Linked DNA regions of Caenorhabditis elegans. The protein of the gene in region 2 interacts with the protein of the main gene of each other region in a pairwise test. Each region holds a gene or a part of one and is shown on either strand. Other genes may lie near its edges.

Region 1 (6,527 bases), on a different chromosome or scaffold from region 2:
TTAAATATATCTTTACACTTATCCAATCTAACAACTTTTCACCTCGTAAACAACTCTCAATCCTCCCAATTTTCCTCTCCAGGTCTCAGTGATTTTCGATCGGAATTTCGACCCATATGCGAAACGGGTTCGCTCTTTTTTCATGTCTTTTCTTCTTTCTAGCTGATTGCAAGAAAGTAAATCGAGATTTTGACTATGAATTGAGCAAGAGAACTCTGGAATTCGCAGCGGCTGCGTATTCCATCGATCCGGAACCTTGCATCTCGAAAAACAATGCGACTTTATTGTTTTTCAAAAAGGTGGAGTGCGATTATATGCGTGACGAGGTAAAAGATCATGAGATCTTTAAATATTCAAAAATCATCTGATTTAATTTTTTCCAGTGCTGGAGTGTGATTGCTGCCGACAACGACACAATATTCGTCAGTTTCAGTGGAACAAAATCGAAAGAGCAGCTGGTAACTGAACTTATCGAAAGCATTGGTCGGCCAAAGCACAAAGTAGGCTCATGTTTCAAGTGTTTGTCTGAGTACTCACAGAGCAAAGAAAACTTATTTTACAGTTGCACAATGCTGGATCAGTTCATTATTACTTCTACTCTGCTCTAAAAACAATGTGGTCACCAATGGAAAAACTACTGCGAGGACTGAAAGACTCACTTCCAGATCATAAAATTGTGTTCACAGGACACTCATTGGGCGGAGCTATTGCAAGTATTGCATCGACTGTTTTCGTTAGAAACTTTCCCGAAACGTCGAGTCGAACCTTTTCAATCACATTCGGACAGCCTAGAGTTGGAAATCTCGAATATGCCATGACACATGACAAATTAGTTGCTGGAGGAAGCTGGAGACTGATTCATGGAAGAGATATTGTGAGGGAGACTAATATTTAAGATTTTTTTAATGCTTTATTAGGCTCAAAATGCACCCAAATGAGCGAATTTCGTAATGAAACTTCTCAAACAAGTTCGAAATTTTTTTCTGGCGGTTCAAAATATCCTCTTTCAAAAGACTATTAAAAGTTTTTTTTCTAGGTTGCACATATTCCGTTCTGCGTGGAAAGCTATGCCAGATGGTGTATACCATTCTACAATCATGGATCCTATCACCATGGAGTCGAAGTCTGGTTTCCTGGAAACATGACAAGTCAAGATACGTTCAAAGTTTGCACCGGGACTCCATTGAACGAGGACAATTTGTGCAGGCAAGTGACAGTGATCGAAATCACGTGATAAGAAAATCTTCTCTTACAGCAACACTCATCGCTACTTTGACATCAACGATCACCTGTTCTACTTTGGACACCACGTCTCAGATTACGGTGTTAATGGATGTGTAGACCCACCGGATGATGAACCATTAATAAATAATGAAAATGTTTAAATAAATTTAAAAATGTTGATTGAATTGCGATTCTTTTTCTCGTCGTTTCAACTGTTGAAAAGTCGGTTTGAGAGAATATTCTCGCTTCCGTGTGTCACGTATATTTTCTCAGGACTTTCTTTTTATTGGAGAGAGAGAGGAGGCGCCAAAGAAGATAAGACACCCGCGAACTCGAGTGTAAGAAGAAACAAGGGAGGAGAAGAGAGAAAGAAAGGGATGGTTGAACACAGAAAATGAATTGTTGGTTATTTTTCTTTTCGTTTTCGGTTTCCTACTTTATTGTTATGGAAGATTGTGTCTACTTTCTTCCCATTCATAACACGAACCTTCTTTCTTTCTTTCTCTCTATCATTGCCTGTTTTTCTTTCTCTCCGGCGCAATAATATTATTATTGATTTCTTAATATTTGATTAAAATGATAAGCCTTTGTCTTCGGAATCATTTTGATAAGAGACGATATCATTTCGGCTAGAAATGTTGCAGGAGAACGAGATGCCTGGGCCAGCCGGCGTACCGCAGCGCAAAATGACGTATTTCGTGCCGAAGAGTGGTCAGTTTACTTTAAAAGAGGACTTACCATTTTTTTTTGCTCTTTTAGACTCGAAATGTGCCCAAATGAGCGAAATTTAAAAAGATAGTTTATTTCACATAATTTCAATTAAAATTGATTTCCGTCCGTTTCGACATGGAAAATTTGGCAAAATTGAAGATTTTAGCTAAAATCAAATAGCCCATTTTTTTTCGAAATTTTGAGCCGTTTTGGACGCATTTTGAGTTGAAAAAGTGCATAAAATTGATCGATTAGCCCTATTTTATTTTCATTCCACATTGTCTTCTCAAAAATCTCAATTTTCAGACAACTCAAACGAGCAGGTTCGAGTTCCAAACGTCATCGCACTTGTCGGACTGCCGGCACGTGGCAAAACATACATCTCACACAAACTGTGTCGTTACCTCAACTGGATTGGAATTAAGACCAAAGGTTGGTCCTGATTCGATTATATGTACGACATGAAACAAAAAATCAAAATTACAGCATTCAATGTCGGCGAGTACAGAAGAAGAGCGTGTAATTTGGAAGAAGAAGGCGAAAATGAGTTCTTCTCGCCAAACAACGCCAGAGGTCAAAAGATCCGAGAGTGAGATTTTACGAAACTATGAAGAAAAAAAATTAAAAAAATTCCTGAATTTTCAGTGAGTGCGCGAAATTAGCCATTGAAGATATGGGAAGGTACTTGGATAACAAGGAAGGAGAAGTGGCGGTGAGTTACAAAGGAAAAAATTTCAAAAAAATATATAGACATAAACTTTTTATTCAGATTCTCGACGCGACAAATACTACAAGAGACCGACGAAAGCTTCTGATGGAGTTTTGCAGAAATATGATGCACGAGCCACCATTCCGTGTCTTCTTTGTGGAATCTGTTTGTGATGATCCTGATATTATCAACTCGAATATCACGGTAACCTTTAGATCTTCAAAATAATCACCTTAACCCGCATATTTTCAGGAAGTGAAAATCAATTCGCCAGATTATAAAGGAATAATGTCTCAAGAGGAAGCAAAAGAAGACTTTTTGAAGCGTATCGAGAACTATCGAATGCAATATGAGCCACTTGATGAGGATCATGATGAAGAGCTGAGCTATATCAAAGTTATCAATGCCGGAAAATCCTTCTATGTTCACAATGTTAATGGTCATGTGCAGAGTCGTGTTGTGTATTTCCTGATGAATATTCATCTTCTTCCAAGAAGTATTTATTTGTCAAGAGTAAGTTTAACAAAAAAACCGAAAAAATTTTGCGCTAAAAATAGGTAACAGGTCTCGACGCGAAAATTTTTATTAAATGCCAAAAAGTGTGCGTCTTTACAAACTACTGTAGTTTCATTTTTTTTGCTGCCGAGTTTTCATTGAGTTTCAGTTTTCTCACGATTTGCTGTAAAAACGTTTTTATTTTTTATTTCACTTTTTGATAAATTAATATTTTTTTACCAAACAAGCTAAGAGAGCCCGTAAAAAAACTTGAATTTTAACAAATCGTGAAAAAAAAAGAAAATCAATGAAAATTCCGCAGCAACGAGAGTTTGAAATTACAGTATTCTTTAAAGGTGATGCCTTTTTTCATTTAACAAAAATGTCGTGTCAAGACCGGACACCGGTTTTTTTGGCACAAAATTCCGTTTCTGGGATATAATTCATTCAATTAACAGCACTGAGAATTATCAAGTATTTTTAAACTTTTATAGTTTAAAAATCCCTTTAAAAAATTTATTACAGCATGGAGAAAGTGAGTACAACAGAATTGGTCGTCTTGGTGGTGATTCCCCACTCAGTGAAAATGGTTTAAATTACGCTGGAAAACTTCGCGAATACTTCGAAAAAGAAGATTTGGACGATTTCCGTGTTTGGTCATCTCAAAAGATTCGTGCCGCCCAGACAGCTTCTCATCTGAAAGATCTCGCTGGTCATACAGAGTTCTGGAAATGTCTTGATGAAATCGATGCCGGAATATGTGAAGGATTAACTTATGAAGATTTCGAGGCTCGTTATCCGAAACAATTCGCTGAAAGAGATAAGGATAAATATCACTACCGTTATCCAAGTGGGGAATCATATGAAGATCTGGTTGCTCGTCTGGAGCCAGTTATCATGGAGCTTGAGAGACAATCCAATGTCCTTGTCATTTCTCATCAAGCAGTTCTCCGTTGCATTCTTGCCTATTTTACTAACAAAAATCGAGATGATCTTCCATATCTGAAGGTTCCATTGCATACAGTCATCAAGCTCACACCAAAAGCCTATTCCTGTGAGATTGAACTTTTCAAATTCGACATCGAAGCAGTCAATACTTACAGAGAGAAGCCACAATAGGAAGTATTTATTCTTTATCTAGCCAATTATCTATGCCAAATGTACATTTATTTTTTCATACAAGTTCCCATTTTTATGTCGGGCGTTTTTTTTGAGATTGCATTTTCCCTGTTTTTGAACAATTGCCTTTGAATTTAAATACGTTGTCGTTTATGTGAGAGTTATAAAGATTACATCGATTTCAATTTTATGGACTGATTGCAATATTTCTCGCTGTGTCATTTTCTACAATAATCTATTTTTAATGTATTAAACGGTCAGGAGCCACATTAAAAATTTAAAAGAAAACCAAACAAGAACGCGTAACTGAGTTGTTGTTATTTTAAAAGAAAAATCAATTCATATAAAAATTAATCCTTAAAGGCGCAGAGATTTATTCAGATGGGTCCCGACGCGCAAAAAAGTTTATGGTAATTGTGTTTGAATTTTTGCGGCTGCTTCCTCGTTTATTTTTCTTGCATTTTTCAATTTATTAAGGGAATTTTGTCGTTGTTTAAAACCATTGTATGAAAAAAACACAGGAAATCCCACATTTTTAATGGAAGTAGTTTATTTGTACTTTGAAAACTGATTTTAAACATATTCTGACAGAAAAGTGAAAAGAAAACGACATCTGAATAAATCCATGCGGTTTTAAAAAGGATTGCCAAAATATTGTGAAGTTACGATAAAAACAAAGCTGAAGCAAGTTGTATTTATTTTCTGCACATACCTGCGTCTCTTAGTGGCCTTCTTCTCTCTCTCTCTCTCTCTTTCCCAATAATCGTTCCACTATTCGGCTTTCAAACATTCTCATACACTTTCAAAAATCAATTTACAGGAAAATTGATCGAAATGTCAATATCAATGGATGACAGAGGGAACAATAGTGGAGAAGTTGGAGAATGTGAGTCATCACGAACTATTTCGTTATGAAATTTCGTTATTTGAATTCAATTTATTTTATCATTTCAGTTGCCAGTTCATCAATGATACAAGAATCAATAGATCTCAAATTGTTAGCCGCAGAAAGTCTTATTTGGACAGGTTGGAATTGATTTTTTAACAATTATAATGTGAGGAATTACAGAGAAAAATGTGACATACTTCGGACCACTTGGAAAATTTCCAGGTAAAATCGTAATTACTAGGTATCGAATGGTTTTTCTCGTTGGTGATGGTGGAAAAATGTATGAGGTTTGTGATTAAAATTTTAAAATTATATTTTACAAATATAAACAAAAAATTTCAGCAATGGAAGCTCGATATTCCACTCGGACAAGTGTCTCGGATAGAAAAAGTTGGTAGAAAGACGACGAGTGTTGCCAAACGAGGCGATGATAATTATGGATTCACAATTTATTGTAAAGATTATCGAGTTTATCGATTTACATGTAATCCAGCATCGAGTGATAGAAAAAATGTTTGCGATTCGTTGAATAGATACGCTTTTCCGCTATCGCATAATTTGGTGAGTTTTTTTTTTAATTTTAATAGGGGGCTTTTGGCTCTAGAACTATTGGAAATGAAAAAAAATTCTGATATTTTTTTTTAATTTACGAAAAAATAAAATTAATTATTCATTTATTGGTTAGCAAAAAAATTAAAGTTAAAAAAACACGGTATCGTAATTTCACAAGTTTTCGCCTTAGAAAGCCGCACGGATTTCTTCAAATGGGTCTCGGCACGCAAAAAGTTTATTGTGTAGATTTTAAACAATCAATGATTTATTAAAAACTTACTTGACAACCAAGAAATAGACAGCCTAACTTGAAAAACAACATTATTCAACCAAAAAAGGAAATTTTCAGCCAATGTTCGCCTCTGTACATGCAGCAGAAACACCTAGACTTATGAAAGATGGTTGGAAAATTTATTCAGCTGAAAAAGAATATGAACGCCTTGGAATCCCGAATTCACGTCTTTGGAAAGAAGTGGACATTAATAAAGACTATAAATTTAGCGAAACTTATCCAAGAACTGTAGGTTAATGATGGTTTTCTTTTTTAAAAATAATTTTATTTCAGTTTGTAATTCCGACAGTATCTTGGGAGGAAGGAAAACCATTTGTAAAGAAGCTCGGCGAGTTTAGAAGCAAAGAAAGAATTCCCGTGTTGAGTTGGATTAATCAGACAACTTTAGCTTCAATTTCACGATGCTCACAGCCAATGACTGGAATTTCTGGAAAAAGAAGTGCTGAGGACGAGCGGTAGGTTTTATTTTTATTTTTAATGATAATAAAAAATAATCGGAATATTAATATTCTAATATGCTGAAATGTCACAAAAGA
Region 2 (6,086 bases):
AATATCATCATATTTTCAGTAAGTGTTCCTGTTTTGTCTGAAAGAACATGTGTGACTGTTCCAAGTTCTTCGGGAATACTCAAAGAACGACAATCAATCGCTCTATCCTGAAATTAACAAAAACATTAATTATTTTCAATTTTCAAGTTCAAGTTGGCTTGCCGATTTCTGATCATATAACTGAATATCATTGCTGATAAAGTAGATTTGAAGTGCTTTGATAATTTCTACAGTAATATACAGTGAAATTGGCACAAGAAGTTGATAGTTGATAAAGAATGCACCTATGCCAATGAACCCCTCTATGAACGGTCTCGGTGTGTTTGAGAGAATGAATGGAATCTGTAACAAGTATATGTCTACGTCTCTTTGTCTTACATGTTCTCTGGCAAGAATGGAAACTGCGCTCTGTTGTACAAAGTATTTCATTTCTTTTTCTAATATTTGAACTAACTATTTCTATAAAATGGTTCGCAAGACGAATAAAGAACACAAGGATGTTTCGGTTCAAATTACAAGATTTAAGAACGAAAAAAGTCGTTGTGATCGTTCGGATTTTTTGAAATCTCAAAAAAAGAAACCTTCAATGCCGTTGGATCACTTGAAGGATAAGGAAATGTTGAAGAATCGACGTCTACAGAAGCGAAATGTAAAACGAGAGAATCAAAGAAGGAAAGATGTAAGCTTAATGTTTTTTTGATACAATGCCAAAAATATATCCCATCTACAGTGAATTTCTCTTTTCTAGGTGTCACTTGCTGCTGCCCACCACATCGAAAAATGCATAGATTCTCTACAGAATATGAATGTTGAACCATCCAAATAAGACTTCTAACTCTTGTGTTATGTTTTCGGGTATTTTTAAATAAATTTTGCTTTAACTTCAAAAATAAACCTGTTCATCAACTGGATGTTGTCCAACCCAAACTGCTGAAGTGATAGCGCCATACAATACCATAAGGAGAAGCATTATGAAACAAGCAATTATAAATCTAAAGATATCACAGTTTTATGTTAAAGTTCAACGTGCTCACTTGTTTGTCAGTTTTTCAATTCCAGATGTTTTGTGTGGAGCTCGTCCATTGTTCTGCATCACTTTTGTATCGTGACCTGCATAAACCACAATTCCCTCAACAAACGTTGTGTTTTTGATACGGGAACCCCGAAGAAGCATGTTTTCTTTGATAATGACGTCAGATTGGCCTGAATATTCAGAATTAAAATAATAACAGTCAGAGTTATTATTGGTTTTTTTTTGTCAAAACTGCATTTGGTTGTGGCTAAACGTTTCCGAATAGTTGACATTTATTTAGTAACTAATATATAAAATATGAAACTGAAAAACTTCCCCTGTAGCTAGGCATCACCAAATTATTTTTCCAACTCAAATCGCTCTCACCTGGTTCAAATTCCACTTTCGCTCTAATTGTGTAAATACTTTTATCTGGCTTCTCACATGTCACAACTCCTGTGAAATCTGGTGGCTTGAAGGTAGAGTCTTTCTAAAAATAAACAGCGTATAAATTGAAAATCTAAAAAATTCGCAAACCTTTGAATAATCAATCACTTTTGCAGGAACCATTCTTTGTTTCAATGATGTTTCACCATCTAAGTTACATGTTTCAATATAACATGTTCCACTTTCACTTGATGAACGTAATAAAATGATATCAGCTGGCACATCTTGATTATTTGAAATATGTACAAAATCGCCAACTAATATATATCTCCATTCAGTTTTTCGAAATGCACATCTATCTCGATCCCACACATGACATGTTTTCTTATTAATCTGATTATCAAACTTATATCTTCGATAATCTTCAATTCCGTCTTTGATCAAAGTTGTTCCCAATACAAAACAAATTGGTATTAATCCAACATATCTTGTGTAAGCATCAAAAAATGGTACCCAATTGAGTATTGCAATAAATATAAAATATAGATTTGCGTATTTTGTGGACACTTGATGCCAAATATTGAGTGGAATGAAGTTCCAAAATGTGTATTTAGTTGTTGAAATTCGATTGTCAGTGAAGTCTCGGTAGTTGTTTAGTTCGTAACGAGGTGATTCGAATAGATGATTGGGACGAATCACTCGAGATCTAAAAAACGACAGTTCTTGGATTTTTTTGAAATGTATATTGACTCATTATTTTTTAAATTAGAATTTATCAGCTTGAACGAAATCAGAGCAAGACTTGGTTAAGACTCCCAAATTTTACTTTTTCAAGAAGTTGAATTTTTGTCAATATTTTACCAAAAGACGGAGCAGGTAATTGGAAAGAATTGAATTAAGTTTAGACTAATCTTGAAAGTCTGAAATATACTTCTTCCATTTTTTTAAAGCTTTCAATTTCCGAACCAGCTTCCATTTTTGGTGAAAGCTTGACAACAAGTTAGGCAGCTCCTTGATTTTGAGCGTTTCAAATTTTGTTTTTTTAGCTCAAAAAAAATAAGAAATTAATTCCTATAGCTTACCCAGTTTCTCTGTTACTTCGTCCTCGAAAAATAGAAATAGGATTATGAAGTGGTGCAGATGGAGGAACCCATTTTGAGGATGATCTTCTGTGAAGATGTGTTGGTCGAGGTGTCGTCATATTCTCATTCCTTAATGACTAAATATTTCTTTAGAAATGAAAAAGAACACAAAATGACACTGAAAAAGAGGTGAGTGCGAACTGAGTCACACTTTGCCGCCCTCCCACTATACTACTGATACGGAGACACAAATCGATAACAATGTGGAAAGCACTGCAAAGTTGAAATTAGTTATAGACATGACACGTTACAAAAGTATGTTCTATGGAGAAAAGAGCTGCGCGTATGAACTTTTCAGATGGAACTTTCGTATTTGGGTATTAACAAGTGTGAAATAAAGTGAATCATGAACAAATATTTGTGTTAGTGATGCCAATTCAAAGCAGTATACTTTGGAGATTCACATAGAAAATGGCATGCATATGTATTCTTGAACATTCATTGTTTTGATATTTTTATTTATGAATGGTATCATGACGTATAACAAAAGTACATGTTTTCTATGGAAACAATAATAATTGAAAAGTCTATGTCATGGATATCTATCTTTTGAAAACTGATTCCAAAATAATTCAAGGGATGACCAAAAAAGCGGATTGGTCTCGCCGCGCGGTGTAAAAAGTAATTTTGCTTATGCGCCTTTAAATTCACTGTAGGAAATTTCGATGTTTTTAGATCAATTTTTTCTAATTTGTGCGAGAATATTCGTTATAAATTAGAAGAACACGAAAACGATATAAAAACTTTTTAAAAAAATTAATTTGCCTGATTTTGTACATTTGTCCCATGTGACGGATTGCCCCATGTACTTTTACAGTTCTCTCTTCAATTCCATTTGAACACCCGCCAATTGAAACAATACATCTTTGCGTGATGGTGTTTGCAAAGAGTACAACAAACTTTACGCGCATGTATTGCTTTGTTTTTAAGAGCTTATTTTTTTATTTTTTTTTTGTATGATTTCTGAACTGCTAGCCGTTTCAATTTTCCCTTATGATATTTTTATCGATTGTAAGCGTTAAATTTCCTTCTTTTAAAATTAATCATTAAAATTATTCAAGCGACGGCCATTTTTCAAACACATTATTCGAGTATACTCGAAATAGCTCAACATCTTTTAATAAAAGGCGATTAGATTAGTTTTCCACATATTTAAGTTCTTCGTAACGTTATTATTTTTGTTCGGATAGTACGTCATAGAAATTTCTCTGTTTTTATAGGAAAATTCAAAAACAGTCAAAATTTCGAGCATTAAAACTACATATAACGTTCGCATGAATCGAATAATAAACTTAAACATTCCGCGTAAATTTGTGTTCGCTGGAGCGTGCTTGTTGCTTAGAATTTCTATTGGATTTTGCAAACGGACGTTTTTTCAGTTAAAATAACATTAAAATTAATTCTGCGGGCTGAAATATTTAAATTAATACCCTTCGAAATTTAATCTATATATTTTCAGTACCAATTATACACTTTCCAATTTAATAATACATTTTTCAAACCATTTCAATTCGTTCTCTTTCTTTCTCAGCCTACGTAGATTTATGCATCGTCACATAAAATATCGATTTTCAGGACAATGACCGGAGTTGATGACATATCGTCAAATGTGCATAAGCTGGTGGGAGTCACCGCAGGAATGGTAACGTTTTTTTATTATTCGTTTTCTAAACTAAAATGTTGTATTCAGAATACTGCAGCGTCCACAGGACCAATGAATTTGGTTCTCGATAAGTGTTCCGTTGTGCTCGAAGAATTGAGAACAATTCAAATTCTAACAGAGACACATTCAGAAGGACTCAGCGAACAGCTGAAAATGACAGAAAAGAATATCCTCGAAATGGAAAATTTGTTCGATCAAATTGACCAGCTTTGCTTGTTTGTTCAAAAGGTAAGGTTTAGTAGTTGTTACAATAATAGTTAATTGCAATTTTCAGGCAAAATCCGATCTCGACAAGCTGGAAAAACTTTACAATGTTGTTGACAGACAATAATTAACTCATCCAATTCACTGTGCCATGATTTTATTACGGGTTTTCAATTTCCCAGTCTTACATGTATTATAATGAACTTATTTCAAAAAGTTGAGAATTTATTTATCTATTTGCTGTTTTTAACAGTTTCGAATATATATATATAATTTTATTATTTATTTTAATAAGATTTTAACTTCATAATTAAGAACTCAGTGATGACACAACAATCTGACAAAGATGCCTCTGTGAGCGAGACGACGACTCCACCAACAACTCCTGTTACTGTCAAAAAGCCGGCGCTTTGTGGGTTCGTTGACTATAATTTTTGTTTAAATTTTATTTGAAATTTTCAGAAGTTGTGATTGTGATGTGGAGAAGTCCACCCTTGAGGAAGAAGCAATGGCAGCTGTTCGTGAAAATGCATTTGCAGTCAACTTGATTGGTGTAAGCGAAATGCTTCCACGTACTTCACAACTTCTCTTCATTAATGTAACTACATTCGAGAATCACACTCATTGTATCGAGCTCACTCGTAAGTTCACTCAGATGAGCAATAAATAATTATAAACCGAATATATTCAGAAAAGGGATGGCGAGTTGCATCAAATCGCAATGACTGCATGAATGGTGATTTCCGACAACTCGATATTCATACAAAGTATTTCGAGTCACTCCATACGCTTCTTATGGATATTTCGCCACTTTTCCGGTACCATACATTTTTATTGCAAATTTCTAAAATAATTTTTACAGTGAGACATTCGGATCGAAATTGATCTCCAAGTTGAGTGAACTGAAGAAGGAAAGAAGCGATTCCGATGAATAATTTCTCACTTCAAATCTTCATGTTCTACCATTATTACAATTCGCATTATTTTCCTAGTTACATTGCTCAAATTTGCGTTCAAACACATCTAAGTTTTTTTCTAGAATATTAAGCGGTCTTGTTACGTGGCAACTCGCGTAATCTTGCCAACCACCGTTTTGTCTCATTACACACTTTTATTCCATCCCCGTATACTTTGTTCCGTTGTGAAGTTTTCTGTGTATAAAGTATGTCAAAATTTTCTTTTTTTTTTCAATTAAGCGTATTCAGACGTTTACTCGTTTTTCTTACCTGAAACAAATGCAAATTAGGTATTAATCAAGCCAAATTTCAGTGAACATGCGGTTACATGGGACAGTCTTGCTGGTTATACTCCTCGGTTGCCTTTTCGCAACTTCAGGTAACAAAAAAACGGTATTGGAAATATCATAATTATTATTTTTAAGATGGACAGTTGGCCGCCATGACAATTGACCTCGGGACTCAATTCCTTAAAATTGGAATTGTAAAACCTGGAATTCCAATGGACATTGCTCTGAATACGGAATCGAGAAGGAAGACACCGAATGTTGTTATGATTCAGGATGGCCACCGAACTTTCGCTGATGCAGCTATCGGAATGCAAGTCCGGTATCCTCATCTTGTTCATGGACAACTCAACGATTTAGTCGGCAAATCCACACAACATCCTTCATTTGAGCTATTCAAAAGACGAAATACCTTCTTCGAGGTTGATGATGCTC

The links. The genes of interacting proteins can lie anywhere in the genome.
Region 1: the proteins of lelo-1 (region 2) and pfkb-1.1 interact in a two-hybrid assay, tested with the Caenorhabditis elegans proteins (one large-scale study listed by BioGRID).

What each region holds. Positions count from the first base shown.
Region 1 is NC_003279.8:5,129,663-5,136,189, forward strand, and holds pfkb-1.1 (6-phosphofructo-2-kinase domain-containing protein), read left to right. Parts: upstream 1-1,857; 5' UTR 1,858-1,859; coding exon of another isoform or gene 1,860-1,877; coding exon 1,878-1,935; intron 1,936-2,241; coding exon 2,242-2,367; intron 2,368-2,421; coding exon 2,422-2,524; intron 2,525-2,580; coding exon 2,581-2,647; intron 2,648-2,704; coding exon 2,705-2,848; intron 2,849-2,896; coding exon 2,897-3,157; intron 3,158-3,664; coding exon 3,665-4,258; 3' UTR 4,259-4,443; downstream 4,444-6,527. Other genes in the region: Y110A7A.7 (Fungal lipase-type domain-containing protein), read left to right, coding at 117-326, 384-500, 563-874, 1,037-1,206, 1,256-1,385; Phosphatidylinositol-3,5-bisphosphate 3-phosphatase mtm-1, read left to right, coding at 5,105-5,144, 5,213-5,284, 5,328-5,434, 5,490-5,708, 6,049-6,219, 6,265-6,446.
Region 2 is NC_003280.10:6,241,634-6,247,719, forward strand, and holds lelo-1 (GSKIP domain-containing protein), read left to right. Parts: upstream 1-4,723; 5' UTR 4,724-4,732; coding exon 4,733-4,824; intron 4,825-4,870; coding exon 4,871-5,049; intron 5,050-5,099; coding exon 5,100-5,226; intron 5,227-5,270; coding exon 5,271-5,343; 3' UTR 5,344-5,586; downstream 5,587-6,086. Other genes in the region: tat-4 (Phospholipid-transporting ATPase), read right to left, coding at 1-107, 163-342, 896-992, 1,035-1,203, 1,400-1,502, 1,550-2,105, 2,482-2,600; T24H7.8 (Small vasohibin-binding protein), read left to right, coding at 467-679, 749-826; blos-4 (Biogenesis of lysosome-related organelles complex 1 subunit 4), read left to right, coding at 4,121-4,183, 4,232-4,432, 4,479-4,535; T24H7.2 (Hypoxia up-regulated protein 1), read left to right, coding at 5,683-5,743, 5,790-6,086.